4 linked regions of the Elephas maximus indicus genome follow. The protein of the gene in region 1 binds, or shares a complex with, the protein of each later gene. Links are inferred from orthologs where the notes say so. Each region holds a gene or a part of one and is shown in the gene's direction. Other genes may lie near its edges. The genes, in order: RB1, TFDP1, E2F1 and CCNA2.

Evidence for each region.
Region 2: the proteins of RB1 (region 1) and TFDP1 are in contact, whole or in part, in a crystal structure (PDB 2AZE), measured with the Homo sapiens proteins. The link is inferred for Elephas maximus indicus from reciprocal best matches to the Homo sapiens genes RB1 and TFDP1. Residues at the interface, in NP_000312.2 of Homo sapiens: Ile835, Ser838, Phe839, Thr841, Ser842, Phe845, Gln846, Ile848, Asn849, Val852, Cys853, Asn854, Ser855, Val858, Leu859, Lys860, Arg861; in NP_009042.1 of Homo sapiens: Gln222, Glu225, Leu226, Gln229, Ile262, Val271, Asp273, Asp288, Asn289, Thr290, Phe291, Glu292, Ile293, His294, Asp295, Glu298, Arg302.
Region 3: the proteins of RB1 (region 1) and E2F1 are in contact, whole or in part, in a crystal structure (PDB 2AZE), measured with the Homo sapiens proteins. The link is inferred for Elephas maximus indicus from reciprocal best matches to the Homo sapiens genes RB1 and E2F1. Residues at the interface, in NP_000312.2 of Homo sapiens: Ser829, Arg830, Ile831, Leu832, Val833, Ser834, Ile835, Phe845, Ile848, Met851, Val852, Asn854, Ser855, Arg857, Val858, Leu859; in NP_005216.1 of Homo sapiens: Ala267, Pro268, Pro269, Glu270, Thr271, Gln272, Leu273, Gln274, Ala275, Val276, Asp277, Ser279, Glu280, Asn281, Phe282.
Region 4: the proteins of RB1 (region 1) and CCNA2 are in contact, whole or in part, in a crystal structure (PDB 1H25), measured with the Homo sapiens proteins. The link is inferred for Elephas maximus indicus from reciprocal best matches to the Homo sapiens genes RB1 and CCNA2. Residues at the interface, in NP_000312.2 of Homo sapiens: Pro869, Lys870, Pro871, Leu872, Lys873, Lys874, Leu875, Phe877, Asp878; in NP_001228.2 of Homo sapiens: Met210, Ile213, Leu214, Trp217, Glu220, Glu224, Arg250, Leu253, Gln254, Tyr280, Ile281, Thr282, Asp283, Thr285.

Annotation. Positions count from the first base shown.
Region 1 is NC_064832.1:30,645,452-30,653,413, reverse strand, and holds the start of RB1 (retinoblastoma-associated protein), read left to right. Parts: upstream 1-4,961; 5' UTR 4,962-5,215; coding exon 5,216-5,403; intron 5,404-7,962. UniProt on the Homo sapiens protein: Tumor suppressor that is a key regulator of the G1/S transition of the cell cycle. The hypophosphorylated form binds transcription regulators of the E2F family, preventing transcription of E2F-responsive genes.
Region 2 is NC_064835.1:74,595,816-74,603,755, forward strand, and holds the start of TFDP1 (transcription factor Dp-1), read left to right. Parts: upstream 1-4,933; 5' UTR 4,934-5,073; intron 5,074-7,225; 5' UTR 7,226-7,289; coding exon 7,290-7,301; intron 7,302-7,940. UniProt on the Homo sapiens protein: Can stimulate E2F-dependent transcription.
Region 3 is NC_064843.1:35,859,170-35,867,053, forward strand, and holds the start of E2F1 (transcription factor E2F1), read left to right. Parts: upstream 1-4,882; 5' UTR 4,883-5,013; coding exon 5,014-5,274; intron 5,275-7,884. UniProt on the Homo sapiens protein: Transcription activator that binds DNA cooperatively with DP proteins through the E2 recognition site, 5'-TTTC[CG]CGC-3' found in the promoter region of a number of genes whose products are involved in cell cycle regulation or in DNA replication.
Region 4 is NC_064823.1:25,383,558-25,390,735, forward strand, and holds the start of CCNA2 (cyclin-A2), read left to right. Parts: upstream 1-4,163; coding exon 4,164-4,376; intron 4,377-5,051; coding exon 5,052-5,295; intron 5,296-6,591; coding exon 6,592-6,704; intron 6,705-6,842; coding exon 6,843-7,066; intron 7,067-7,178. Other genes in the region: BBS7 (Bardet-Biedl syndrome 7 protein), read left to right, coding at 1,031-1,164. UniProt on the Homo sapiens protein: Cyclin which controls both the G1/S and the G2/M transition phases of the cell cycle. Functions through the formation of specific serine/threonine protein kinase holoenzyme complexes with the cyclin-dependent protein kinases CDK1 or CDK2.

The DNA of each region.
Region 1 (7,962 bases):
CATAAAAATTAATTTTCAACAAATAATTGGAAGAACTGTAACACAGGATACAAGGAAAAAATATAAAAACTGCACATTGTTCACCGGAAGTGTGCATCTAGGTGATTACCATAGAGAATCGCTATTACACCCCTCATTTTTTGTCATTCCACAGCCATAACAAAGAAACAAGAATTTGTTTTTGTTGTTGATTTGTGACTTAGGAGACCCCATGTGTTACAGAGTAGAACTGCTTCATAGGGTTTTCTTGGCTGCAATCTTTAAGGAAGCAGATTACCAGGCCTGTTTCTTCTGTGGTGGTGCTCCAGGTGGGTTCAAAATGCCAACGTTTTGGTTACTGGCCAACTGGAAACTATCTGTGCCATGCAGGGACCTTTCTAAACAAGAAGTTGGGAGAGAAGTAGCAATTTCCCATACTAACTGCTATACAGTGTTTGTACGTCAATATTTAAAGTTTTTAACATGACAAATGAGTGTGCTTCTTGCTTGTTAAATTACCTAATCTAGGTTTAGATATATCTAGCAGTATATCTAAACTGCTTCTATGTTTTATTCTGATAACACTCAAGTAGAGAAGCCAGTCTCTCAAAGGCATGTTGAAGGGAGTGGAATAAGAGATTTTAAGGCAATTTCAGCAAGTTCAGGACATTCATTTTTAATTTCTATCCAAAATGAAACAAGAGATGCTTTATTTTCAAAATTCATCTCCAGTCCTTCATCAGTAGTGAGTTCCAAAAATTTGCCCTGTAAAGTTACAGTTACATTTAAATTCTGGATCCATGAATTTCCTGTGTGTGGTGATTACTTTGATGGAGAATCAAAATCAAAATGTTTTATCATATTTATGATAATATTTTCTTTATATTTTGTATGTAAATGTCCCTTAAGTTTGATGGATTCATTGCTTCATTAATCAGTCCATGGTTTTAGTACTTAACCAAAAGTTATGGCTACAGACTGAACAGACAGGGGATTATATTTCTGAGTAAAATTAATATAAACTCTTAGCTCTAATTCTTTGGAATGACTTCTCTGATCATTATTTGGTTTACTACTGGTAGTATTAATCCACTAGTGACATCTGTCTTTTCTTGACAAAACAGGCCAATGAGGCTTGTTTCATCATCTACGATTTAGGGTTAAAAATAAATGACACAAATTTTACTTCCCTAATTTAGCTATATATAAATAAAAAAAAGAGGCTTGATTAAAAATTAAAATGACTATAAAAACAACTTATAAAAATGAATAAATATTTACATCTTCATGGATTTTTAACACTTTGGATTACAATTGACAAGCTAACCTTAAAATTTTACTCATCGTAAATGTGGTCCTACTATGCATGACAAGGACACAGCCCTACCACCTGCAACTCACCACATAAATTGGAGAACACCTGAACTGGACTATACTCTTGCTTAGCTATATGCTTAGCAACAGATGTCCAATGATCATGTTCTTGGATGTTGCTGACATGTCAAATTGTCATAAACATTTCTAAGCACTCTTAATTTCTGTATTTATCATCATCTTGTGCAGTAAGGAGCCCTGGTAGCACAGTGGTTAAGAGCTACAGTTGCAAATCAAAAGGTTGACAGTACGAATCCACCAGGTGCTCCTTGGAAACCCTATGGGGCAGTTCTACTCTGTCCTATGGGGTTGCTGTCCATTCAACCAGTTCCTATCCCTTTCTGCCTTCTCATCCTGCCTTCCAACAGGAGCTGCCCATTTAGTCCCATGTATCTACTTGAACTAAGAAGTAAAACTCTTTGAGTATTATTTTATGTTTTATAGTCCGGTCTAATTTTTGTCTGAAGAGTTGGCTTCAAGAATGGTTTTAGTTCAGGGTTAACAGAGAAGTCCAGGGGCCATGGCTTCGGGGGTTCCTCTAGTCTCAGTCAGACCATTAAGTCTGGTCTTTTTATGTGAATCTGAGTTCTACATCTCCTTTTCTCCTGCTCCGTCAGGGACTCTCCATTGTGTTCCCTGTCAGGGCAGTCACTGATGGCAACCAGGCACCATCTAATTCTTCTGATCTAAGGCTGATAAAATCTCTGGTTTATGTGGCCCTTTTGTCCCTTGGGCTAACATTTTCCTTGTACCTTTGGCGTTCTTCATTCTCCTTTGCTCCAGGTGGGTTGGGACCAAATGATGCATCTTAGATGGCTGCTAGCAAGCTTTTAAGATGCCACTCACCGAAGTGGGATGCAGAACATTTTCTTAATAAATTTTGTTATGCCAATTGACCAAGATGTCCCCAGAAACCATGGATCCAGGCCCCTGCCCCTGCTACTCCGTCACTTGAGAAAACTTCTTTTAATAATCTATAGAACCTCTAACACTTCTTTGTAGTACAACAGAAAGCTGTGTAATGATTTTATTTACTCAAGTACTTCTGAGTTGTGTGTGAGGAAATCATATCTTAAAGCTACTCAGAAACATGGTAAAAGGAGTCCAAGGCAAAGATACACATCCTTTTGTAAATGGAGAAACCTCTCTTTGACTTATTATAATTGTGGTAAATCCAGATGTTGATGTAAACTGGGTTTAAATAGAGCAAGTCTACATATGTGGGGAGAGTTTACTTCAGTTCCCAGAACTTCCTTCAGTTCTCCTACCTATGCTCTCCACTCTCATTTTTAACAAATAAGTATCTACTGTGTGTCCAATACTGTGCTCAGTACTAAGGCTACAAAAATGCCTGAGATTTGGTCTCTATCCTGAAGTAATTCACAGCAGAAATATTATCAGTCATGATGCTTTCTGCTGCAAACAATCATGCAATTCAGCTCCAGGGTGTTCAAATCAGAAGCTAAGTTATGTCACCAAGGACCCAGATTATTTTCTTTTGATATTCCTACTGCCCTGTCCCCAGCATTTTTGCCTTATCCTCCGGTCTGCTGCATAGGTCACAATGGCTACAGCAACTACAAGTGTCATATCCTTATGACAACAGCTAAGGAGTAGAAGAGCTGTCATCTCTGTATCCCATTTTATCAGCCTTCCAGAATATTATCACCTTTCATCTTTAAAAGGTCAAACTGTATCCTGATCTGCTGCCTAAACTAGTTGTGGGCAAGATGAATGGGACTACCATTTTAATTGTATTCACTCTCAGTGGCCTGGGCCCTACCTCCTGACAAAGTCTTGGCCCCCAAGGTAGGATCCGGGGGGACTGTGTGTTGGGTAGGCCAATGCTTGCTAACCTTTTTTACATTGTGGCACATGTCATGGTCTACACAGAAAATGATAATCCATTGCACTACTCACTGGGATAAACTCACGAGACTTGCATCTATGACTTACCTGAAGGCTCCTGCTGCCTCACATGCTGCCCAGCTTTCCAAGAATGAGGGAATGTACATCAGAGCACAACTATACTTTATTCAAAGTACTTCAGTTGGGAAGTTCTGAGATGGGCAATCAAAAGTATCTGCCAAAGGAAGAAAAACATGTGCTAAAACTAGAAAATCAATTATAATAAATCAATACCAGGAGACAGAAAAGATACAGCTTCTAAGCCAATGTTTGGCGGCGATACCTCCAGAAAGCTTTTCTTCTGTTGATTTTGTGCCTGTACACATGCTATTTCTCTCTTTTTGGTGTTTTCTTCACCAGTATAATGTAACAGATAAGTCATAGCAAAATTACCTAGGTTCAAGTCCTCTGCTCATCAGATCTGTGATATTGGGAAAATTAATTAAGTCCTCTGAGCCTCATCTGAAAAGTGAATAATACTATCCATTTTAAAAGGTTGTTTCTGAAGATTAAATGAGATAATTATGTAAAGTGGCCAGCACATTTCCTGGGATCCAGCAAGTCTTCCTTAAATTTTAGATCAAGCTGGCAAACTTCTATTCAACTGCTACTTCTCCTCTGAAGATCTCTTTTACACATTTCAATGGTTCCTCCTGACTTTACACCACCATTAAGACTCAAAAAAATTAATTAAAAATAGACATTTTACTTTAAGAAATTTCTCTTACCCACACACACACCCGCAAGTATAAAAATACTTGACCCAAAACTGATCTTGCCTGCAGCTTCACTGGCTTGTTCTTTCACCCCAACTTCAACTTTGCAGCATGGTTAAACTTGTTTATCCCCCCAGCTAGAAGACAGCAGTCAATAAGAAATCAATCACCTTGTGATTTAATGAAAAAGACTGTGTGCTTCCTTGATTTTAATTTCAAGAGCTCTCAACTATAAATATGTAAGTTAACTCAGTAATCATTATTTCATCACAGTGGAAACTTGTATTTATCAAACAAAAATTTTTAAGTCTCTGTGAAATCTCCATTCTCTGGGAGTTTCTTCTTGCAGGAAGAGAATGTTCTCCCAATTTGAAAATTGTTTGTTAAATCATAGACCAATCAAATATTGTTATTCTTTTGAATTGATACAAAATCTTATTTTTAACGTTTATAAACAGTTTATAAACTGTTTACTTGTTCATTACCCACAGCCCCCTCCCTACCCTAACCAGTGATCCCCAAAAGGCCAATAATTGTCCTACATTTTGTTTCCCCCAGTGCTTGGTAAACTGGAGCACCGATTAGGTGTTCCAGAAACGTTTGCTAAAGGGATAATCGGCGGTGTTTTTGTTTTGGTAGACTGGCTTAACGGATTGGGTGGGCGAGGTCTCAGAAGAGGGAGGGTACCGCCCATGGAGAGAGGAGGCGTGACAGTGTAGGGTGCGCTTGCCTGATAGAACTTACAGGACCTGAGTGACAGTCCCTGATCAGACCCAAAGACAGAGATGACAGAGATGGGGCCCAATTTTGCCCCACAGACTCTTTTTGTTGCCCTATTACGGGCACCTCAGCCTGGAAGGAGAGCTACAGGTAGAAACAGGTCCCAGCAGCGGCGGCTACCTCAGGGAGGGCGCCTCCGCCAGGCCTGGTCTCCCGGCCAGCCCCGCTCGTCCCTGCGCCCCCGCCCGCGCGCTGCCAGGCGCCCCGGTGCCCGCCAGACGCCGGCTGGCCCGGGAGCCTCGCGGACGTGACGCCGCGGGCGGAAGTGACGTTTTCCCGCGGTTGGACGCGGCGCTCGGTTGCCGGGCGGGGAGGGCTTGTCCGGTTTTTCTCAGGGGACCTTCAAATTATTTTTGTAACGGGAGTCGAGAGAGGACGGGGCGTGCCCCGACGTGTGCGCGCGTCCCCCGGCCCTGCCCTCCTCCACAGCTCGCTGGCTCCTACCCTGTGAGGGCGTCATGCCGCCCAAAACTCCCCGAAGAGCGGCCGCTGCCGCCGCTGCCGCTGCCGCTGCCGCTGCGGCTGCGGCTGCGGCTGCTGCTGCGGCTGCCGCCGCCTCTGTGGAACCCCCGGCGCCGCCGCCACCGCCCCCTCTCCAGGAGGATCCGGAGCACGACAGTGGCTCCGAGGACCTACCTCTGGCCAGGTGAGTGAGCAGAGCCGCCCCCGCAGAGCGAACGCAGGAAGGGAGCCGAGGGGGCTTCGGGACCGGCGCCGCGGCATCTAGGCGGGGGCGCGTCTTTGCCCCGGATCCCGGTCCCGGCGAAAGAGGGTCCCTCCTTGCCCCCCACCACCGCGGAGGGTCTGGAGGAGGGTGACAGGGCTCCGGGATCCGGAGCGAGGGGAGGACAGCCAGGAGGGGTCGCGGCTCCAGGTTGACAGGTGTTGGGCGGGTGGGGCTCGGTTGGCTGAGCGAAGTGACAGGTGCTAGATCGGAGGCTGGAGGCGGCGGGTCATTTCGAGCTCCCATCAAATGCAAAAAATGACTGACGCGCGTGTGTTGAAGAGGAAGCGAGTTTTGTTCTTGTTAAATTGGTAGTACTCCCGTGCTCTTTGGCTTTCTGTTTGGTCTTCTGCGACGCAAGAGTTCCAAGTGTTCGCTTCTGGGTGTGCACTGCATCCAAAGCCCCATGCTGCGAGAGGCCGACCAGAAACGCCTTGGACGCCGCTGCAGGAGACGCCATCGGACCTTAGCGCAGGGTCCTGGGTGCCGGTTGTCCACAGGGTGCTTTGAGGCCTTGGGGTTCAAAGCCAGCTGTAGTAACTGGCGAAACAGAATGCTTTAGAGGAACTGGGCAAGTTTTGTGAGGCAATTTAGTGTAAGTGCCTAAAAGTTTCTAAACTTCTTTTTTTTCCTTTTGGATAAAACTCCTTGCAGGTTAGTCTGCCTCAGCATGTGCCATTATTTCTTCCATTTTGTTTTTTGACTTTACAATCAGGGATCTTGGTGACGCTTGTTTCTTTGTTTTGTTCTGTTTGTTTTTGGTAAAAAATTGGCGATGCTCTTGTGCTAACATCGAACTTTTTTTTTCCCCCCCTAAGTGAAATCTAAATTTAAGCAAGCCGTGTGGATGCGGTAGAATATGACAAAGAGCTATTTGTTGGATTGCAACATTTTATTTTTCTGGATTGTGATACTTTACGGTTAACTAGCTAAGACTGAAAAGTGCATATTTGTCCTTATTCCTTATTGTCAGCACTGGTTCTCTTTCAGGCTCTTTGTATACAGATCCATCGTAGGGGAATGGGACTGCTTTCTTCCCTCACCATTCCTTCTTCCATTCTGGTCCATCACCAAGTTCTGTTTTACCCTCACTGAATTGTACATATCTTTCCACTTCCCAGCCACTAACAGAGTTCAGGCCAAATTGTAAAAGATTGAAATGACCTGTGGAAGGATATTAAAAATTCATATATTTGAATGAACTGTCATATGGGTTAACTGAAAATCATACCTACTAGTTTAAAAAAAAATCCTTGGGTGGTGCAAACGGTTAATGGCTTGGCTGCTAATCGGATGATTTACTTGCAAAAAATTAGCTGATGAAAATGCTATGGAGCACAGGTCTACTCAGACACACATGCAGTTGCCATGAGTCAGGAAATCGACTTAACAGCTTAGTAAAAAACAAAACAAAAAACAGGCCTGGGGGATGTTTTGGAAGAAGACATCACACTTTAGTTTTTGATTAAACTCTAATGTGCCCAATACCTGAAAACTATTCTTTGGCAAGAGCAGTAGTATTTACTTTAAAAAATTCAGTGTTATCCATATAACTTTGAAAGCATTCTTGATTATTTTGTGATAATTAGAAATATTGAAGTTCTGACCATCACCTGGGAAAAGAAGAAATTTGTTTCTTTCATTCTTTTTTCCCCAACACATTATTTTATATACCTTTAAGTGATGGAATGATAAAAAATTCTTTGGGAACTCAAACCCTTGTACTTCAAAGCCATGCAAAATACAGTCTGCCTTTGATTATCCGTACTCACAATGGATTCCTTAGCATCTTCAATCAGACTCTACAGATTAACAATTTAGCAAGGGTAGGACCACAGCCTGGCAATCTGAGGCTGAGTAACCTGAGGCTGAGTAACCTGCTTAGGGATGGATTCAGGGCTCAGCTCTAACTGCATTCCCAGCAAGAACCATTTCTGCCCAGAGAGTTGAGATCACATTCTGTTGCATTTATCTCTGGCCTAAATGATGTGGTGGAAACCCTGGTGGCCTAGTGATTAAATGCTACAGCTGCTAACCAAAAGTTTGGCAGTTTGAATCCACCAGGCGCTCCTTGGAAACTCTATGGGGCAGTTCTACTCTGTCCTATAGGGTCGCTATGAGTTGGAATCGACTCGATGGCAAAGGGTTTTTAAATGATGAGGCTGGAAGGGAAACTGTCACTAGGAACAGCATACCACCTTCATTGTTGAGGTTATCAGATGTTAATTATGTTTTGAAAAAGGAGCTGGCAGTATAGAGTAGTGGTCAAGAGCGTGGATTATGGAGTTAGACTGTTGGGTTCATATCCTGGCTTACCACTTAGTACTGGCAGTGAGCTCAGGTGAATGCTTTAACTTCTCTGATTTCGTTTATTCTTCGGTAAAACAAGGATGATAAGGGTCCTTACATGGTAAGGCTGATGTGGAAATTCAGTGAAACCATGACATTTAAGGACTTTCTACAGGGTCATAGTAAATACAG
Region 2 (7,940 bases), on another chromosome or scaffold:
TGTGGATACCTTTCAGTTTATGTTGGCCAGAGTTAGTGTCGGTCGTTTGCACCAAACCTCTTGATTGCTCTATCTTCTCACTGATGCCCTCGTCTGAGATCATGTCTTTACTCCAGCATGCTCTCTCTGCCGCCATGTGGTTTATTTACCTAAGACGTGAATATCTTTTCATCAATTAGAAGAAGCTGCTAAGTGTTTCCCAATATCTGTTCTTCACCTTTCTCTTTTCTAGACCTTCAAAGCTTTGGTAGTATCTGGCTGCCCAGAATAATGCCTGTATTTCAAGCATCACTGACTGCCAGGTGTGAATATGGACTAAGTTCTGGCCAATGGGACATAAGCTGATATGAGCTTTTTTCAAGATGTGTTCTTTTCTAAACATGCACACACACAGAGTCATAGCCCATTTCAAATATTACCTCTTTTGTGAAGCCTTCCCTGACCACGTGAAGGGAGAAATGTTCTGGATTCTGTGCTTCCATAGCTTTTTTTCCAGTTGTGAATATAAGCTTGTCTTGTTCTATAACATTTAATTGTATGTGGATCTGTCTCTCCTGTTTGCCTCTAGCAATCCTGTAACTTATTGATCTGTATAAAATCAGCACCCAAGGTAGTGTCTGGCACGTATTAGGAGCTAAAATATGCTTGCCAAATGAGGAAGGCAGGAAAGGTGAAGCTTATGAAATGGTCGTTTGTCTTTTTGTTAAAGAACTACGCTTTTACCTAGTTTTTTCTTAGCTAGAGGAAATCAAGCATCCCCGAAGCTAAGATGACTTATCCAAGGTAACTTGACTTCCCTTGAGCTCAGCTTCATTGTACCAGGGGAACTCTAAGATCCCGTTTGTCTGAGCTCCTATGAATCTGTAAGATAAGTGGACAGGTAGTAGACAAATGGTCAAAGTTATTAAATTGCACATAAAGTCAAATTTCTTAAAATTATGCTGAAAGCTCCTGGTGCTGGGTTCACTGTTGGCTGATGATGGTAAATGAGTTCTATCGAGGAAGGAAATGATGTAAAGAGAACATGGATCTTTAAACCTTAAACTGTAGAACTCCATAGAAGAAACTAATCTTGATATCATCCTAGTCAGAGCAATGTCAAGTTACGAAGAAGGAATGCTTTAGAAGAGCTGTGGAATTAAATGCCAAAGGAATTAAAGGACTTTCATGTATTGCAAAAGCCAGAGGAAAGTTCAGATGCAAAGCGAATGGAAAGCGTCTAGGTTGTAGATAAAACTGGTAAGATAAATTTGGATAAATCAAATTTGTATATGTTAGATGCTATGATCCTGGAGAATTTGTCCGTGACAATTTTCCAAGGACTGTGGCTTCAGGCTGTCAATCGCTGTAAAAGTCTTTAAGACACAAGAATTATTAAGAGCATAATCACGTGATAGGGTCAAGGACTGATAGACTAAAACTTTCAAGAAGGAGTTCTTTGGATTTTACTGGGAATTTTAAAAAGGGGAAATGAGGTAGCAAAGATTGCGAGAAAAATAAAAATGTCTTCATATGTTAGGTGACGGGGTGGTGCTTAGAAGTGATGATCTGGTTGGGGAGAAGGGCTAGGGGATTTACCTTGAAGTTCAGCAAACACACTGATTCATCATATTTTATGAGGCATCTAAACAACCACAGATGCTTTTATTTATATTTTACCAAAGAATGAGAAAATGTCACCTGTCCTTCCTCATAAGCTCCATGAACTCCTGCCCCCTTCCCTGTCTTCCCTCAGTATCACTATTGCTCTGGTGATCCAAGAAGGATGAAAAACTGAGGAAACGGCTGAAGAAAAGACCAACATGATTTAATATGGAAACCAAAGATAAATTTTGTATTTAGCAAGCAAATTTAGAATTAAAACATTTCAAAGGATTGGAACATGTTCTTTCTCTTTAAAGGGCAGTTTAATGGTGTGGGAAGGAGAGAAGGATTTGCATCAGGTCCTAAGATTCAACAGGGTAGAGATCTCTCAGACACGAAAGTGTGAGATTTTGGGAGATGAGGATTTTACCTGGAAAGAACCAAATGACTTTCTTTTAACAAAACACAGAACAGAACTGTTTCCATGTAGTATTCTGGTTCATAATGACAAATCTTATACATACAAAACAATATCTGGCCCCAGTAATATAGGGCTGAACACCAACTACTGTGTTATGCATCAAGTCAATACTGAATGAAGGCATCATAGAAAGAATTAAGTTTACTAAACAATGTGAAGTAGTAGATAAATACAGGGCATTACAGGCTTATTAGAGTAGATAAACCCAGGGTTTTATGGGCTTATTGCACCTGGGTGGTGCACCTGGTTAACATGCTCTGCTGCTAACTGAAAGGTTGGAAGTTCGAGTCCACCCAGAGATGCCTCGAAAGAAAGGCCTGGCGATCTACTTCTGAAAAATCAGCCATTTGAAAACCCTACGGAGCACAGTTCTGCTCTAGCACACACAGGGTTGACATGAGTTGGAGTTGACTCAACTGCAACTTTTTTTTTTTTTTTGGTGGTGGGGGAGCTTTAATAAAAAGATTGCATTTCAGCAATTTGATCCAAAGTTTTCAAGCCAAGGCAGTGGCTAAAAAAATTTGGATTTTCAATGCAAAATTTTAGAGTTCTGTTACCATTTGTTAACACAGAAATAGGAGCTTTCTGTGGGGTAAAGAACTTTTTGCCCTTTCCCCAAACAAACCAGAGCCCCAATGAGCTTTCAGCAAGTAGGTACCCCCTGCAAGTTCAGAATATTTCCCTACAGTGATTTTTGTGCAGAAATCAATTCGAGTAATATTAGAGGTGGGATCCCTGGGTGGTACAAAAGGTTAACTGTGCTCGACTTCTAACAGAAAGGTTGAAAGTTCTAGTTCACCCAGAGGCATCTTGGAAGAAAGGCTTGACAGTCAGTTCCAAAAAATAACCCAGTGAAAATCCTATGGGAGCCCTGGTGGCACAGTGGTTAAGAGCCCGGCTGCTAACCAAGAGGTTAGCAGTTGGAATCCAGCAACTGCTCTTTGGAAACCCTATGGGGCAGTTCTACTCTGTCCTATAGGGTCTCTATGGGTCAGAATTGACTCAGTGGCAGCGGATTTGGGTTTTTTTTTCGGTTTTGAAAACCCTGTGGAGCATAGTTCTACTCTGACACACATGGGGTCGTCACGTGCTGGAATTGACTCCATGGCAACTACCACCACCATCCTCTGTAAACATTGTTGAATTACCTGAATCACGAATTTGTAGGGAAGGGGTTTCAGATCCCATACTATGAGTTTCATTTTTTCCTTCTTAATTCCAACTCCCTAGGTCTCCCGGGGAGGTTTCCTGGTGCGGTGGCTACAGCTACACTTGGGTCCAAGAGGTTGGGAAAGGGGACTTACCACTGCTAACTAAGCTGGAATATTCAAATTTAGTAAAAAATATTTTTTTTGTGAAAGTCAAGAAATGGAGCTAGGAAAATATGACTATTTGTAGGATATAATGGAGGAATATCGGTTCTGAAATCATGGGAACCTGGTAATGGGTGAAGAGTTGTATGAATCTTAACAGCAAAGAATAAGGTCTTTCTCCAGATAGTAATTTGTAGGACTTTCCCTCTTAGTAAGGGCCCCAGGTGGTGCAGTAGCTAAAAGGGCTCAGCTGCTACTGAAAGGTGGGCAGTTAAAATCCACCAGCTCCACTCCACCGGAGGGGGATGTGGCAGTCCGCTTCTGGGAAGATTTACAGCCTTCAAAACTCTATCGGGCAGTTCTAATCTGTCCAGTATGGTGAGTCAGAATGGACTCAACGGCAATGGGTTTTTGGTTTTCCCTCTTAGAGTCTTTTATTCAACTTCTCCTTCAATGTTTCTTTAAATACTCATTGTGTGCTCATCTGTAAGCAGAATATGAAGATTCCGTTATTAGCTTGTCTTCAAAGAAGAAAAAAAAAAACAAAACACCCTTGTCGTCGAGTCGATTTCGACTCATAGCGACCCTATAGGACAGAGTAGAACTGCCCCTTTACAAGGGAGCAACTGGTGGATTCAAACTACTGACCTTTTTTCCAAGCCTTGGGTCTTAACCACTGCACCACCAGGAGAATCCAATGTTAATTAAATTGCTAACAGTTTAAGTGAAAAGAGATTTAAGGGGTCAGTGCATTACTAGAAAAGCAGAAGTGGATGTAATCAGCATAAAAGTGGCTAAATTGTGAAACCATGCTAAGTGCGGGTGTAATGTAATAGTAGTAATGTAATAATAATATGTTGCACATACAGAGGGCCTTTGGTCTGTGCACCTCAAAGTACTTTGCAAACGTTAATTATGCATCGCACTAGGAGGCAGAGAGGGAGGGCCTGGTAGGGCTTGGGCATTGCTGCCTAATCCAGCACTGAACTTTGGACTCCAGACTCTAGATGCGCCCGCCAGTCAACCCTCTGATGCGTTTCTACAGCCGTCTGTGGTTGAATCCACCCACTGCTTTAGCAGTGGTGGGATCGAGGTTGTGATTAAATCTCCAGGAATAAGGGTCCAGCACGCCAAACTAGTGATGAGGCCGCTCCTGCAGTCAGATCAAACTGGGCTGCCCAGTTTTCCCTCCTGAACTCACTTCCGGGATACCTCCCCAGCTGGCACCGAGGATGCACGGAATTGCTTGGAATTTGGGTGAAGGTTGGGCGTGGGCGTGGAGAGGCGCGGTGGCTGAGCCGGGTGTCTGCCGGCTCCTCGCTGGGCCAGACGTGCCGTCCTCAGCCGGGAGCGCACGCCGGGGTAGGCAGCAGCTTCCGCGCCGCGCGCCCGCCTGCCCGCCAGCGGCCACACACGCTCGCCGCGGGCCTCCCTCTCTCCCTCCCTCCTCCGCACACACACACTGAGCCCCTCTCCCGGCGCCAGGCGGGGGCGGAGCAGAACTGGCGGGAGGAGGCAAGGAGGGAGGGAGGGAGCCAAAGGCGCGAAAACGGCGCGCAGGCGCGCCGCGCTCCCCGAGGCGGAGCGCGCGGGGGTGAAACTGACACTTTGGGCCAGTCTCTATGGGGCCGCTCGTGGCCGCACGTCACCGCGCTGCCGGCACGTCACGCCGGCTCGACGCTCCCGGTACAAAGTGTAAGTTTCAATTTTTTTCCCGGTGCCGCCGCTCCGGGGGCCACGGAGGAGCGGGAGCGGAGTGGGGACGCAGGGCTGTCTGGCCAGCGCGGCCGGGCCTTCCCATCCCCGCCATCCTCGCGTGAGTGCGGGGCTGGGGCGGCGGGGCCCTGAGCCTCGGCGCCCAGCATCTCCGCCCCCAGCCCCGCGCGCGGGCGCGGACCGGGCGAGCCAGGTGCGGGGCGCCGGCCACCCTGGCGCTGCAGGCGGCGGGCGGGTGCGCGCGGGCCGAGGGCGGCCGGGGCTGCGGGAGGGGGAGAGGATGCCCTGGGGCGGGAACCCCGGGAGGATGGAGATGGGGGAGGGCGCGGAGCCACCGGCGCCGCGGGAGGATGGAGCTGGGGGATGGGGCCCAGGGCAGGGCGAGCAGCTGGTCCTGGAGGGAGGGGGCACCGGGCGGTGCGCGGGCCCCTGGCCCGAGAGGCGGCTCTGGGGCGGGCCGGGGTCGGGGCCGGCCACGGGGCGCGGGGGGCGGGCCAACGGCGGCGAGGGGGCAGCCCGGGGCGGACTGGTCCCCGGCGGTCCGGCCCCTCGGCCCTGCCCCCGCCTCGCCTGCGTGTGGGCGCCGCGCGCACTGCTCGGTGTCTCCTTGGGGCTCTTTCCTGGTGTGCTCTGTGTGCGCTGCACATGTGCAGTCGGTAAACCTTCCCCCACCCCGCACCCCCCACGCCGCCGCCGCGCCTCATTGTAGCCGCTGCAGTTGGTGGGCTGCGGGGCTGGCCGCCGCCGTTCGGTGGGTGGGGGGGGTGGGCGGCCGGGGGAGGAAGGCGCTCTCCAGGTGACTTGACCTCGGCTGTAGGATGTGGGATGGGGGGTTGGCGCGGGTGGGGAGCAGGACGCGATTGGGCGGGAGTGGGCCCGACCGAGGAGGGCGGGCAGTGGGGCTCTTGCGGGACTCTGCTAGCTGTCTGGGCGGGCGAGGTGGGGGCTCGGGACGGGTGCAGGGGGGTCCCCGGGTGGGGGCAGGCGGGGCGGCAGGGCCGGAGCTAGGCCCTCCAGGCCCCGGATAAGCATCGTCGCGCGCCCCTCGGCCACCCGGGGGCGCGGGGCAACGGGGAGGGGGTCGGTGGGCGCCTGTTGCCGGGCGGTGCACCCGGCGGTGGCGGGCGGCAGGGCTGCACAGCTGCCGCCGGCTCCGTCCCGGGCCCGAGCGCGCCGCCCGCGCTCCCGGCCCCGGCGGCCGGATCCGCTCCGGCCTGCAGCGAGCGCCTTCGGGAGGGAACGGGGAGGGGCTGACCCTTCCACCGACCTGGTCCTTTAGGGAGCTCCGAGCCGAGGACTGCCGGTTCCGGTGGCGGGCGGGGGAAGGGAGATTCCTCTCGGTGGAGGTGGCTCCTGAGGCCTAGTGACAGGTCAGAGAAAGCCCGGACCCGGACGGGCTGGGGGCGTGGGGGTTGGGATGGGGGACTGAGAGCAGTTCCCTGGACCCTGGGACTGCTTGGGGTGACTCTGGAAGCCCACCTGTCAGAGTTACCAGTCTACCCTCTGGCTTGGGTCAGCGAGCTGGAAACTGACCAGGGTGGGGGAAGTCCCTCTAAGAGTTCTTTTGGGATGGCTTTCCCTGCGCGCCGGTATGTCTGTGCTAGGACAGAAGGGAGAGTTATACTCCTGTTAGATGGATGTGTGGGGTCGTGCATGTATGTGTGTGCCTGGGTGGGTCACTGTGGGGGTGGTATATTGATCCCGTAGAGATGTGAATGAGCCGAATGGGACCATTCGTGTAGTTATGCCATGGATTATGCTTTAGAAACAGAAAGGTAGCACAGGCAGATATGTAAAGGGGATTATCTTTGGGTGATTTGGGGAGAAAGTTGGGGTGTTGTAGCAATGATTTTAGGTCATGGAGTTCCTATGTCTTGGTTGTTTATGGGCTTGTTTGCCAATTTAAAATATATTTTCACCTGCTGCAATGAATTTTAAAATCCTAAGTATAGGAGTTGTTTTTGCCAGTTCCACTTTTGAGTAAGTGTGTACATTTGGGAAGGAAGGTTCTTGTTACCTGGAAGGCCAGTTGGGGTGGTGGTGGGGGGGGGTGGGGAACGTTTCTCTTAAGATGTGACATATTATTAACTTTCTTTATTCTTACTCATTTTTTCTTTTCCCTTCTTTTCAGAAAAATCATTGTTTCTTCTCTGGAGGGTGAACGTTTATAAAATTGACTTCACGGATCTGGTAACATGGCAAAAGATGTAAGTGTATTAGCTTCGTGTTACAAACCTTTCCTTAGCTTTTAATAGCGAGAAATTACGAAGCACTGAATTCTTTGCAGTTTTCTCACTTTATTTCGGAATGACAACACATAAACCATAGTACTGTTTATTTTTTTAAGCTTCTAAAGCACATGAAACAGGATGAAAGTGAAAAAAGATCAAAGAATCTAATAGCCTCCATGGAGATGTGTGACTTGCTCTTTCTACGTTGTGTTTTTTGTAACCTTGGATGCCTGTTGATAAATGCTTATGGTGTTTAAATGGTACCAATTTTACTTAATCTTTTCGGGCCTTTAAAATTTATGATTTTGAATAGCTTTGTTAAAAGCCATTCCATAATTAAAAGAGATTGTGAATGCACCATTCAGAGCGTGTGGTGGGGCTCAGCAGTTGCTGGATCTGGACCCGTTTTCTGATGCCCAGCAGAGAAGGGCCCCATCTACTGAGGACCACCTTCCACACAGGAGGTCTGGAGATTACTTGCTTTCTTAGTTATCTAGTGCTGCTATAATAGAAATAACCACAAGTGTGTGGCTTTAACAAACAGAAACTTATTTTTCTCACGGCTTAGGAGGCTAGAAGTCCGAATTCAGAGTACTGGCTCTAGGGAAAGACTTT
Region 3 (7,884 bases), on another chromosome or scaffold:
GTCACCATAGAACGATTTCTCCCAGTTATGCACTCCTTGTAATCATGGAATATTCATGTTTGGAGTTTTTTTTTCTTTTTTTTGAGCTAAAAGTGTATGTTTTGGGGGGCATGTCATGTACGTGGAATAAATGGCTCAAAATTATGTCACTTGTCAAACTTCTTAATGGCGCATATTATGGAGGTACATAGAAATAATTTTGACTTTCCCTGGACTGTGAGCTCCAGGTGTCAGAGATAAGTCTATTTTGCTTACAGCTATCTCCCAGGACCTAGCACAATGTCTGTCTTATGGGTTGAATTGTTTCCCCCGCAAAATGTTTGTCAACTTGGCTAGGCCATGATTCCCAGTATTGTATGATTGTCCACCATTTTGTCATCTGATGTAATTTTCCTATGCCTTGTAAATCCTAACCTCTATGATGTTAATGAGACAGGATTAGAGGCAGTTATGTTAATGAGGCAGGATGCAATCTACCAAAAAAGAAAAACATTGCTCCTCGATTCCAACTCATAGCAACCCTACAGGGGTCAGTAGAACTGCCCCCATAGAGTTTCCAGGGAGTGCCTGGTGGATTTGAACTGCCAGCCTTTTGGTTAGCAGCTGCAGCACTTAACCACTACACCACCAGGGTTTCCACACAATCTATAGGATTAGGTTTTATCTTGAGTCAGTCTCTTCCGAGATGTAAAAGAAGCGAGGAGAGAGGATAGGGAGCAGAGAGGATAGGGGCCTCATGCCACCAAGAAAGAAGTGCCGGGAGTGGAGCGTGTCCTTTGGACCTAGGGCCCATGCTGTGAGAGGCTGCTAGACCAGGGGAAGATTGATGATAAGGACCTTCCCCCAGAACCGACAGAGAAAACCTACCCCTGAAGCTGACACCCTGAATTCAGACTTCTAGCTTCCTAGACTGTGAGAGAATAAATTTCTGTTTGTTACAGCCATCCACTTGTGGTATTTATTTCTGTTATAGCAGCACTAGATAACTAAGACAGTCTGACACAGAGTGGGTATACAATAAGTATCTGTGGGTTGAATGAGCAAGGCTCAGAATTCTCTTGTCAAAAGGTCACACAGACCAAGATTCCCACTGACATCCGCCTGATTTAGAAGCCCTTGCATTCACCTCCATACCATCCTGCCTCTTGTGTGTAGGAAAGAACCAAGGGAAAGTTGTCTCCAGGTGGAGAATTATGAGTCCAAAGCATCCACTCCTTTGGACTCCTCTAGATTGAAGGATTGGTAGACGCAGTGATGGGGGTAAGCATCCACTAACTAAACCACCAAACCATGTTGCCTTCAAGGCGATTCTCACTCATGGCAACCCCGTGTGTTACAGAGTAGAACTGCTCCACAGGGTCTTTATAGAAGCAGATCACCAGGCCTTTCTCCCATAGTACTACTGAGTGGGTTCGAAACACCAACTTTTAGGTTAGTAGTCGAGTGCAAACAGTTCACATCACCCAGGGACCTAACAAAGACACTGTCCACCGTAATGCCTCTTCACTGGCACACATTATAATCTTGCCAGCCCTGAGCCTGGCTCTCCAAGTATTTTCAGAGGGTAGCAGAGTATGAAGGGCAGATGTTGGGTTTTCCAGTAAAACAGGCTAGGTTCCCATCTCAGTTCTGCTGTGACTGTGAACTGTGATTGCCCCTCTCTGAGCCACCTTCCTTCTGCACAATGTGGATAAACAAGCTTCACTTATGGGATTATTGAGTTGAAAGGAGATCATAATGGAAGTGTCTTCTCAGTAATCATGGATTTCTTGGAAGGTTAGTAGCCTGAGGAGAACTGCTGACATTGGGAACAGCCTTATCGGGATCCACCAGACTCTGAGCCAAGGGGCCCCATCTGTCAGGACTTTTCTGCTTTGAAGCGGGTGTTAATAAATATAGAAAGCCTTATCTCTTTGATTTCACACTGAGAAATCTGGCCTTTGCTTGGCCTTTTGTTCCCAGCCCTGGGCTGCTGCAGCAGGACAAGAGAGACTGCAGTGGGAAGGAAGGCACCTACTTCTACCTGGGTGGTTGATGAACACCTGGACAGGGGCAGGACCTTTGGGAGGAGGGCAGGCCTTTGGGAAAAACGTGGCCTTGGCCTCACCAAGCCTGTATAAATGGCGTTTTCATCTACTAGGTAAGCCTATTCCCTCTGGACCTTGGTTTTCTCCTAGTAAAATGGGGCAAAACCAGCAATGCCTTCCCTTTCCATCAGCCAGCAAGGTGCTTGGCACTTGACAGGTGCTCAGTCAGTTTGTTTGTTGAATGAATATTGAGTATGAGAGGACTTTACAAAAGTCAGATATTATTACTGTAACCGGGATCATTTGGGAAAATGTGGGGAAAGGAAACTATGTGGAACGGGAATGTTCCTGGCTCTCTCAACTCCTGTCAGGACCTGCGATGGTTATTTAGAAGAGACCTAACCCTCAGCTTCTCTGTCCGGGGAGAAAGGGGGAACAGGCAGACCCCAGGGCTGGGACTCCAGTGTAGGCCAGATTCTATCCCTGGCTGGCTTCATGGGACCCTGCGCCTGAATAAGCCTCAGTTGTCCCACCTCTGTGGGCTCTTCCAGCTCTGACACATTCTAGGATTTTTGATAAGTAATTTCACAAATTGTTCATGAGAGAAGGGAAGACACTTCTGCTGTTTTCCCAAAGCACCTCACAATCTATAAAACACTTTCAGATCCTTTGTGCTTTTCATTCTCTTAGCAACCCCAGAAGAGCTGGGGCAAAGTCTATGTGCTCATTTTACAGACGAGGACACTGAGGCCCAGAAGATTTCTCAAAGGGGGATAATCTGAGGCCGCCTCACACATTTTAGTTATACAGTTACATCAATTTGTTCTCCAATGTCATCATGCATAAAAATTACCTGGAAAGGCATGGGAGTGGATGCTTGTTTAAAAATATAGATTCATGGGCACCTAGAGATTCTAAAATGGCTGGGTTGCAGTAGGGCCCAAAGCTAACAAGAGCCCCAGCTGGTTCTGAAGCCTAATGACCACTCTTGGAATACCAGGACCTACTTGTTGCATTCTGGCAGTCTCCAACATCAGCCTGTTTCTTTCATAACCCTCCTCAGCTCAGCAGCTGCTCTAGGCCAGGCCATTATGGGGAGGGGGCACTGTTGAAGCTCCCAGGGTGGTAGGGAAGGCAGATGGAGAAGCTGAGTGGTGTGGTCAGTGCTGGAACAGAGGCAGCCTAGGGCAATACAGGAAGTGAGTAACTTCAACTCTGGAGGGCCCCCTGGAGGAAGTGATACTTTAGACTAAGTGGAGGGATCTTGTTTGTGTCCTAAAAACAAACAAAAAGAGAACCCTGGCTGTCAAGTCAATTCCAAGTCACAGCAACCCTACAGGACAGAGTAGAACTGCCCCACAGGGTTTCCAAGGAGCTCCTGGTGGATTCGAACTGCTGACCTTTTGGTTAGCAGCCAAACTCTTAAGCACTGCACCATCAGGGCTCCTAGCTACTTTTTCTCTTGTGGGTGACCCCCATCAGACTGCAGGCAAGTTCATAGCAATTATCAAGTTTTTCACATCTCTATCCTCAGTACTGTCACAAGACCTGGCACAGAGGAGAGGGTGGTCTTGGTCAAACCTGCTGATCTGAGCAAGGAGAAACCGTTGGTGGAGATGGGTCAGGGTCTCAGGATTAAACGCAGTTTCATGTTCAGTACTCCCACTTCCATCCTTTGCTGAGGTCTAAGAAGTTGGAGTTTTGCCTTCCACATGGGATTCCCAGCCAATGCACTTTGTGTGCAGCCACCCTCCTGTCAGTGGAGGCTTGAGTATTGCTATGACACTGAACAGTTTTCAGCAGAGCTTCCAGACTAAGGCTGACTAGGAAGAAAGGCCTAGGAATCTACTTCCAAAAATCAGCCAATGAAAACCTATGGATTACAACAGTCTGATCCCCAATAGAACATGGGGCTGGCACAGGACCCTGCAGTTTCCCAATTCAATGGCAGGTAACACCGGTGGAATTACTTTAGTATTGGAAACTCCATATTGTATTGTAAACTCTTGTTATCTCTCTGTTCCCCTCCTCCCGGAGTCAAAGTCTGAACTAAAGATGGACACAGAGCAGGCTCTCAAAACATCTGTTGAATAAATGAATGTTTGAGCCTGTCGTTATGGGTCGGAATCGACCCGACGGCACTGGGTTTTTTGAGTCCAAGCAAAAGCTGTGAGTTGGCTACTGCAGGGCTGTCCAGCTAAGACGAGGCCACCGGAGAAGCCCCAGGAAAGCCCCAGACCTATATTAGGCCAGACATCCCTTCCCATTTCCTGGCAGCCCCCTTCTGCTGGGCGTCTGGCTGGGTAAGGGACAGGGGAGGGGCAGGATTTGAGAGTAAATGGCATAGGTGGGGCAAGTTGAGGAGATGTAGCTGGGGCTTAGAAGGTAGGCCTGAGGATTCAGAAAACAGAAGACAGTTTCTGGAAATCTGGGCTGAGGGTCTGGAGGTCATGTGGGGGCTGCAGGCGGACGATGTGGTTCAGCACGTGACGGCTTTAGAATGGAGACTCTGCCCTAAATGTCTTCATTATGGTGGGGTCACCAGGATGGGGTGTGTCGGGACGGGGTGGGGGCGGGGCCACCACGCCTCGACCAGGGGCTGTCTGGCCTGGGGGCGGGGAGTGTGAACAAGCCTGGCACCGCCCCGACAAAGCCTGCGCGCGCCCCGTACTGCGATTGGCTGTTCCGCACCGCACCGCCTCCTCGTCCCGCCCCCCACCGCCGGTCCGGCGCACAGCAGCCAATGGGTGCCACCGTCACCGCCTCCGTCACAGCCCAGGTAGCCAATGGTGGCGATGTTCTGCGGCTCGTGGCTCTTTCGCGGCAAAAAGGATTTGGCGCGTAAAAGTGGCCGGGACTTTGCAGGCAGCGGCGGCCGGGGGCGGAGCGGGATCCGGAGCGGGATCGAGCCCTCGCCGCGGCCCGCCGCCATGGGTCCGCGCCGCCGCCGCCGCCTGCCACCCGGGCCGCGCGGGCCGTGAACGCCATGGCCGTGGCCGGGGCCCCCGCGGGCGGCCCATGCGCGCCGGCGCTGGAGGCCCTGCTCGGGGCGGGCGCGCTGCGGCTGCTTGACTCCTCGCAGATCGTCATCATCTCCACGGCGCAGGACGCCAGCGCCCCGCCGGCCCCCGCCGGCCCCTCCGCTCCCGCCGCCGGCCCCCGCGATGCCGACCTGCTGCTCTTCGCCACGCCACAGGCGCCCCGGCCCACACCCAGCGCCCCGCGCCCCTCGCTCGGCCGCCCGCCGGTACGGACCCCAGGGACACCCGGCCAAGCGCCCTGCCTGTACCCCCCGCGCAGACCCGGGCGGGGCGCAGTGTTTGGCCAGGAGGCAGCGGGGGCCGGGGGAGGGGTGGACTGAGGCGCCCGCGCTGGGCGGTGCAGAGCCTGGGTTGGGCCTCCGGGCCCCGCCCCGGGCTGCTGGGTGACCTCGGGCCAGTCCTTGTATGCTGCTTTAGGCTCTGGGCCTCCGCTTCCTCACCATAGCCGCTCGGGTCAGCCACCGGGTCAGAATCAGTGATAATAATGGCCCACGTGGTTTCAACTAGCGCTTTGGCTGAGCCCTTGACCGACTTCAAGCCAGCCAAAACTCACAACCACGGTGTGAGCTCGGTGTTGTCACTGTGTCCATCTGACGGAGAAGGAACTGAGGCCCAGAGAGGGGAAGGGACTTGCCTCTGGTCATAGGTGGGGCTGGAGTTTGAACCGAGGCCTGCTGGCTCCAGACCAGAATCTGTGGCTATGTAGGGGTGGGGATGGAGGTGGAGGTGGTCCTTGGGGCTGGACTGTTGGGACGCCATTGAGGACACCATCCTTCCTGCCTCCATGCTCCACTGCCAGGTGCAGGCCTGGCCCTCCAGGCCCCTGGGGACAGGCCGCCTGGCTGGGAGGCCTTCTCTGCAGGGGTGGGGCAAGACGCCTAGGCCAGCTGCTGATCCCCTCCCTCTGCCTGTCCTTCCATCTGCCACCCTCCACCCTCTCAGGCCCTGGTTGCCATAGAACCTCATTAATCAGGCAGGCCCCTGTGGAAGAACTGAGTGGGCTGGGCCTCTGGGAGCTGGGGGGAGACCCCCAGTGCCAGGGGAGAGAAAACCTCTCAGGGAGATAATCTGATAAAGGCCTCTCTGAGCAACAAGAGGTGGAAGGATCAGTTCAGACTGGGGGCCCAGAGAGGGTGTCTGAATTACAGTGGGAGAAGGGAGTGGAGGCCTGGAGCTTGAACCTATGTGCTGCAGGGCAGGGCGTGTAGACCAGTTTGACTGGCGCAGCCTGTGGGTGAAGGTGGGGTGCAGGCAGACGGGGGCTGGCCAGGAAGGCTGGGGTCTGGCGAGGGGCTCAGAGCAAGCAGGAGGGGTGAGACAGGGTCTGGGACAAGGAGGTGGAAGCTGCCCAACTGCCATTAGGGGCGTGGGTGGCAGCTGGTCCCTGAGGCATCCCGGGAAAAGCCTCCCCCAGCCCCCTTGGCCCCATGCCCAGTGCTGCCTTCCTTCCGGAATCACCAAGATGCTAATAATAATAACAATAGCAGCCACCATTGTTTTGAGAATGTTTTGTGTGCAGGGCTCTGTGCCAAGCCCTTTACCCAAATTAATCCATTTAACCCTCTCAACAACCTTCCCCTTTTACAGATGGGGAAATTGAGGCACAGAGATGTGACAGCCTTCCCCAGACAGGATCAGCTAGTGAGTGGTGGGATGATGAGCCCAGCAGTTCAAGCTGGGATGCCTTGGAAATGCTAATAGAGGTTGAATGAAGCCTGGGGAAGTAATAGGGACCTATGGGCCTGTGAATGAGTGGGAGGGGTGCGTGTGGGCTGGGGTGGATCAGCCTTGCTTGCCTCCTACCCTCCAATGAAATGACGTGTCTGTCAGAGTACCAGCTTGAGGCTTGGGCAAGTGGTCTCCATTTAGCTGACTGACGAGCACTTAGCAGGTGCAGGGGTACAGAGACAGCAGAGGCTGAGGGCTCCAGGCCCAGAGGAACTGTTAGGGACTGGGAGGAGGAAAAATGACACACACATACACACATAGGCACAAGCACCCTGCCACAACCATCAGGGGCAGCCTCAGGGGCCCTGAGCATTCCATTCATTCAACAGCTGGTGAGTTAGTGAGCATCCGTGAGATGCTAGGCACAGAAGCAGGTAAAGAGTCCCTGCCCCACAGTGCTTATGGCCCAGTGGGCATTTTTGTGCTGGGGCGGGGCTGGCACCATCCCGGAGCCAAATCTGCAAACAGGCCCAGCTGTTGCCCTCCAACATCCCCAACTCTTACACCTGTGGGTAGCCCTGGGCACAGGTTCCCACCTACCCTTTGCACATTTGTTTGGGGCAGTCCCTGAATCAAGCTACAGGCTCAGCTTTTGCGCCAGTGAGCATTTATTGAGTACCAACTGCATACAAGGCTCTGCACAATTCAGCCATTCCCCCGGCCCTTCTTATCCACCCCCACCCTGTTGTGCCTTTTTTTTTTTTTTCCATTACAAATATATGCTTATTGTAGAAAACATAGGAGAATAGAAAGTTGAAGGGGGCAGGATCCCACTCCTATTCACTAAAAGTAATTTTTTTTTTTCTCCTTAAGCCTGTTCTTGCTTTTTATGTAGTTATGAGAGCTTTTGTTTCCTAAAACTTTAAAATTTCACTTTTTTCCCTTTGTTTCCTCGCTCAAGCGTCATATCATTCACACTGTACAGATAAGGCCAACATCCCTCAGTCACCCATGCAGAAGTGGCGATGCAGTGGTGTATAATAGTCGAAACTGAACCAGAGGAAAACAGTTTGGTAGTTTTTTAATTCACAAAGGATTATATAAATATATGATGCTATGACGATGTTTGTGCTTGCCCATGTCTGAGA
Region 4 (7,178 bases), on another chromosome or scaffold:
CTAAAAGTCCAAATCAAGACCTCAGCCATAGGGATTCCTTCCTTATAGGTAATCCCTAGCCTTCCTTGGTCTTGGCTTATAGGTGGCCCTCACTGGTGTCTGTCTGGCTTCCTACCACCGCCCCCCCCCACCATGTGCACACATCTGTGTCTAATCTACTCTTTTTAAAACTCAGCTGTGATTAGGTTTAGGATACACTCTACATTGATGTGGTTTCATTAACATACAAGGAACCCTATTTTCAAACAGGATTACATCCACCGGGCATAAAGGGTTAGGATGACAACAGGTATTTTGGGTAGACACGATTCAATCTATAACACACTTAGTGTGATTATTCACCCATATATTTTGGTGTAGAAATATCATGTTTTGTTACCAGATGCTGCCATTTGCTCATAATACTTTGGGGGTATTTTGTTATATATGGTATATGTCTTCTGTTATCTTCCTAAAATATGAAAAATTCTGAAACACATCTGGCATCAAGGGTTTTGGATATATAATTGACAGCTCGAATTATTACCATTTCACATGTGAGGAAACTCAAAGGTGAAATAATTTGCCCAGACCTTTGAACCCTAAAACTATTTATTTGCCTTCTAGTCAAATCCCAAGAATAGTCAACACAGAAATGGAATGTCTTAATTTAGATAAAGCTATTAAGAACAGAATCTGCCTACACTATTTCAAAATGGTCTTCTTAGTGGGAAAAATAAACCACTTTCATGATGTTATATATACTAGTATCAGTTCAGAAATAGCATTTGATTGTCTGAAATTAATATCTTTTAACCAGTTGTTAAAGATGTTTATTAGCTAATTAGCTAATTTATGTCCTGAAACTGGCCTTAAAATTCCCCCAAAATACATATATTTTTATAAGCATCGAACCTTCTAAAAAGGTTTGTGTATATTAAATAATGAAATTACAGGTACTTAGAAATGGATTCTCAAGCACTTACTTTCATTAAATTGTTTCATTAAAAGGAACTAATTGATGACAGTAAATTCACGTTGTTCTTTCTAGGCATGATCACTGATCTTTTCATAGATAAGTTCAAATTCAAAGGCACCAATGTGAAAACCAAAGTACCTCTTCTTCTGGAGATTCTGGACAGTTATGACCAAAATGCATTGATTGCTTTCTTTGATGCTGCTTGAAATATAATCAAGGTAAAGTCCCAAAGAAGTGGTCTGTTTAAAAGGAAAATACTAACATAGAATTATAAACTAAATGTATATACTTTTATTTCAAATGCTTTTTGATGACATCTAAAAATATTTCAGATATGACTTTAAATAATGCTTCTATTTGCTTTGATGGTAGAACTTTTTAAAAATAAAGAGAATTTTTATATTTAAAACAAGTGGATGACCGTTTTGATCAGGGTCACAATAGATGGTCCCAGCTAGAATGGGAGAAAAATGTGGAGCAGAACTCAAATTCTTATTTTAAAAAAAGCCAGACAAACTGGAACAGTGGAGAGCAGAGGACTCCCTGAGATTATCACCCTGAGACACTCTTTAAACCTAGAACAGAGCCTATCCCGAGATCACCCTTTAGTGAAATAGCAGAGTGGCACACAAAGGATATTACATAAGATTGCTGCTCTACTTAAAAACCATCAGAATGAGATTAAAAGGTCAACAATTACACAAAACTAAGACGGGAAGATAAGGGGCCAGGGAAACTAGAGTACTGGAAATAGAACAAACAGAACACAAAGAATATTAGCGTTATGATAAATGTAACTAATGTCACTGAACAATTTGTGCGGAAATTATCAAAATGGGAACCTAACTTGCTGTATAAACTTTCACTGAAACTCAAGTATTAAAAAAAAAAAAAAAGTGGAGTAAGTACAAGGGATTTTAATGCATTTTTAGTAATTAGATGTTTTGATTTTTAAATAGAGAAATATTTGGAAAATCAAAATATATTCAAATGTTTTACAAGCTACCAAAACCAAAAACCACTTTCATTGCCGTCAAGTCCATTCCGACTCATAGCGACCCTATAGGACAGAGTAGAACTGCCCCATAACGTTTCCAAGGAGCACCTGGTGGATTCGAACTGCCAACCTTTTGGTTAGCAGCCATAGCTCTTAACCACTACACCACCAGGGTTTCCTTACTAGCCACCCACCCACCCACCCACCCACACCCACCCACACCCACACACATACATTTATGTGTAAACTGCTTTACAGTTTTCAGAATGCATTTGCGTACCTTACCTCATATCATCTTCGCATCAGTCCTGTAAGTTTGTCAAAGCTTGTAAGAAAACCAATTGTTGGTGAGGTTAAGTGACATGAGGTTAAGAGGACATGCTATTAATTTGTAAAGCTGGGACCAGAACCCAGTTTCTGGCACCTGCTTTGTGTCCCAATTACAATGTATGTTGTCAACAAGCGGAAATAAACTACCAGTTATTTTTTGTAGGAGCTGAGATTGCTTTATAGTGATTTCTGTCTTGTTCGGTAACATTTTGTGACCCATGCTGCAGCTTGTAAAATGCCTTAGTTGTCTCAGTGCTGTAAATTTCGGTCAGGGAAATGAGCAGCTTACACAGATGAGAGAGATCTTAACTACAAGTGCTGTGAGCAGTCAAGCTATACAAGTTGCAACACAGGAGGAGTGCAAAAATAGTGATAGCTTCTTGGATTTTCCTGCACTAGTATCACTAGTTTCCTTTTTATCCTATATGAAACGAAAATATTTTAAGAACACAGTTTTTTTGTTCATTAATCTTAATGTAAATTTATTCATTTTCAGGGGAATATTGTCAATATGAGTTGGAATTGATGGCAATGAGTTTGGTTTTATTTTATTTAACAGTCTGCTTTAAAAGGACAGATTATAATGGTAAAAAGGCTATTTTTCTGTTTTCAAGAAGTGTAGACTCATGAATTTGTCAGAAAACAATGCTTCTGAATTACATACCATTATATTTATTAGTTATGTGGAAGTCTTGTATATTAAATATGAGAATTTGTTAAAGGCACATATTATAGCTAAGACAGTTTTGTTTTAGTAAGGCCATTGTTTTTATTAAACAGTTTTCATTTCTAAATGGAACATCCAGGTCACTAGAATTTCATTGTTTTTTTGTTGGCTGCTTCTATATAAAAGGCTACTGGTTGGGGAAAAGTGTATAAGCATTAATGACTGTCCAGTCGAATTTCTTGTAGTACATTATTACTTGTTATATGTATCAGTAGTTCAAGACGGCACAGTAAATTGTATTTTCTTGGAAAAAATAAAAAGCATAAGACACAGTTCTGCCTACTGTGAATAAACACCGCGTCCTAACATGACATTATATCCTGCCACTTGAGTATTACTATGTGCACAGTGTTACATAATTTATGCACAGTATTTCATTTAATCCTAACGACAGTCCTATGCCGTGTAGGTATTACTTCCAATAAACACATAAGAAAACTGAGACTGGAGACATTTAATAATTTGACCAAGATTACCTGGCCAGTAAGTGGCCAAGTCAAATCTTGAACCTCGGGAAACAAGTCAGCCACGTTAACTGGAGGTCCCAGGGCTAAAGGCTGGGACGGCCCCCTAGTAATTGCTACAGTTTAACTCAGTTAATTTTAGAATGCATATAGACAGCCTTTAGCCTTGCGCACAGAGACCTCCCAGTGGTGCGGTTTAAAGTCATCAGAAACTCAGGTCTCCCCCGCTCCCGCCTTCACCGCGCAGGCGTTTTTCCTCCCGCGGCGGTTCGACGTTTCTCCGCTCCACCCCTGCTCAGTTGCCATCACTGCCGCCTGCGCTGACTGCGACTTTGTCGCCCTAGTGACGTCACGGGCCTCTGCGGCTCTCATTGGTCCATTTCAATAGTCGCGGGATACTTGAACTGCATGAACAGCCGCCGCTCCGGCGGGCTGTTCGCTTTATCTCGGGGCGTTCTAGGTCCTTGGTACTCCACGCCCGACAGTGCCTGCCTGCTCCTTTCGCAGCCTCCTCCGCCCCGCACAGCCCCTGCCAGGTGAGCGGGCAGGTGGGCAGGCTGGCCCCGACTGCGGCGAGCGGCGGCAGCTACAGCATTCCTCGGCTGAGTCTGCGCGCGGGTCAGCGGGGCGGAGTGCACGCTGCTTGGCGCCGGAGGCTGATCCCGCCGCCTGCCCCGGGGAGCAGTGATGTTGGGCAACTCTGCACCAGGGCCTGCGGCCCACGAGGCGGGCTCGGCGCTGCTAACACTACAGCAGACGGCCCTCCGAGAGGACCAGGAGAACATCGACCCCGAAAAAGCGGAGCCCGCCCAGCAGCCCCGGACTCGAGCCGGGCTGGCGGTACTCAAGGCGGGGAACCCACGGGGTCCAGCGCCGCAGCAGAGACCCAAGACGCGACGGGTAAGGAAGGACACGCGAGGTATCTGTCGGAGGGTGGGCCAGGCGAGGGTCGAGCATGGGCTTAGCAGGCAGAAGAGGGTGACGAGTAAGCATTCTTTGGGTATTTTAGGAGGGCGCGAGTCTGGAGTCCCCTTGGTCACAGATTTTCCGCTTTGTGGGATGCCACGGTGGTAGATTCTCTCATTCATTTTAGCATATGACCCCCGCCAACACTGCATGTGCTACTTATCTCCTATCTATTGGGGTCATCTTTGTAGATTTTGGGGTCAGACCAAGCCCTACAACGCGAATGTCGTCATTGCCCAGCTCATGCTTTCGCTTGTCTTTTAACCCCAGGCATTACTCTGCTCCGGGGCGAAGCAACCAGGTCTCTCCTTCCCCTCCCCATCTGGTTAAGAGAATGCTTCTACTTTAGAAAAGGGTACAAGAAAATACTTTTGGTAAATCCCGCCATTTTAGCCGGATTTGCTGTTTGCTCCACCCTAGTGTCAACTCTGCCTGTGACAAATTTTTACATCCCTTCTCTCTTTGACTACTCAAACTATTCTTGCCTGGACTTTTCCCTAGTTTAATTTTCCTGGTAGATATTTGAGAGTGAAAGCACAAGCTGAGATCCTTAAGGGGAAAAAGGCAAAGCTCCATTTAACAGGCTCAAAGACAGTTCTTTCTTTCTAGGTTGCACCTCTTAAGGATATTCCTGTAAATGATGAGCGTGTCACTGTTGCTCCATGGAAGGCAAACAGTAAACAGCCTGCATTCACCATTCATGTGGATGAAGAAGAAGAAAAGACTCAGAAGAGACCAGCTGAATCTAAAAAATCGGCGTGTGAAGATGCCCTGGCTTTTAACTCAGCTGTTACTTTACCTGGAACAAGAAAACCGCTGGGGTCTCTCGATTATCCAATGGATGGTAGTTTCGGTAAGTTTTAAAGAGATCTGTATGAATCAAGGTAGTATAATTATTAAATAGACTAGATTTTATATTTTAAAACATTATCTTACCTGATCATTACTACATAGTTAGCTTTAATGTAACAGGCTTAGAAATGGTGTGACTTGTCCCAAATATCACACCAAATACATGACCTAGTGACCTACAAAAGGACCCAAGTCCTAATCAGGTGTTCCTTCCAGTACGCTACCAATCAGTTTAATTACATTTCAGTCACATAGTCTGACCCTGGAAATGTTTGCTTGGTTGGGAGAATAGATTTCAGTTGCAGTCATAAGAAACCAAAAAAAAAAAAAACCAAACCCACTGCCGTCAAGTCGATTTCTGACTCTTAGCGACCCTATAGGACAGAGAAGAACTGTCCCATAGAGTTTCCAAGGAGTGGATTGCCTCCCATGGAGCTTCCAAGGAAGGCATGGTGGATTCAAACTGCCTACCTCTTGGTTAGCAGCTGTAGTACTTAACTACTACGCCACCAGGGCAGTGACTCGATTCATACGTACCACTTGAGAGAGTGCTGTGTGAGAGTGCAGTCTTAAATACTGTGTTGTCTGACATCTTTTCCAGCTCTGAAATTTTGTGTTGCTGTAACACCAGTCTGAGTAATCATCAGATACCAGAAAGGCACATTGTCTTCTTGTGTGTCAGTAGTTGTACCATGCCTGTTTGCACTTACCCACATACAAAATGGAGTAGCTTCATCAGACAGCTCTGTCTACAGTTTGTAGTGTTTCTTTTCTGCAGGGTTATTGAGTTACTGGATAGGTCATTGAATATAATCTCATTTTAGTTGTGGTTCTATTGATTAGGGAAGGGAGTGGGAAGTCCTTTGGAAATAATCTGTGTATTTTTATTTAAGATTTGTAACAATTTCTTACCTCAGAATGATCCTTGAAGTTGAAAAGAGTAATGGATGATATTCTTTGCCTCAAAAGATAATTTGAATTACAAAAAAAATCAATCATTTGTTGATTGTCATGTTAATCCACCTGTTTGAAGTACCCATAACAATCCTAATTTCCTTATTAACACACTTGTTAATGAACGCCATTTAGTCTTGCTTCTAGTTATTACCTTATCGTACTTTGAATATATCAGATTCAGGTTAGCAATCTCTTTTGGCAAATCCATGTACTTTTGTCATGAGAAGCCCTTTTACTTGGATGAAATGTTTTGGTAACATAGCATTCTTGACAAGGGCAGTCACTTTTAGCTATTAAATAGAAGATTAAACAATTAATCATATCTTTTGAATTCCTCCAGAGTCACCACATACTATGGACATATCAGTTGTATTAGAAGATGAAAAACCAGTGAATGTTAACGAAGTACCAGACTATCATGAAGACATTCACACATACCTTAGGGAGATGGAGGTAAAAGCTCTCTTGAGTGCAGTCGTATACTGTTAATCACTGCATGTGGCTAAATGAAATGGAGAGGTTAATTAGTGTTTTAACTGCTAGTGAACTACTGTAAGGTATATTTAACAGTATACTAACTTTTCTCAACAGGTTAAATGTAAGCCTAAAGTGGGTTATATGAAGAAACAACCAGACATCACTAACAGTATGAGGGCTATCCTTGTGGACTGGTTAGTTGAAGTAGGAGAAGAATATAAACTACAGAATGAGACCCTGTATTTGGCTGTGAACTACATTGATAGGTTCCTTTCATCGATGTCCGTATTGAGAGGAAAACTTCAGCTTGTGGGCACTGCTGCTATGCTCCTAGCCTCGTAAGTCCATTTTGGTTTTTTGGAATAAAAGTGATGGCTACCTCTCTGCGTAGGGAAAAAATGTGATTTTTAACAGTGTGGCATTCTGACATACTACACGAGTCAGAAAGTC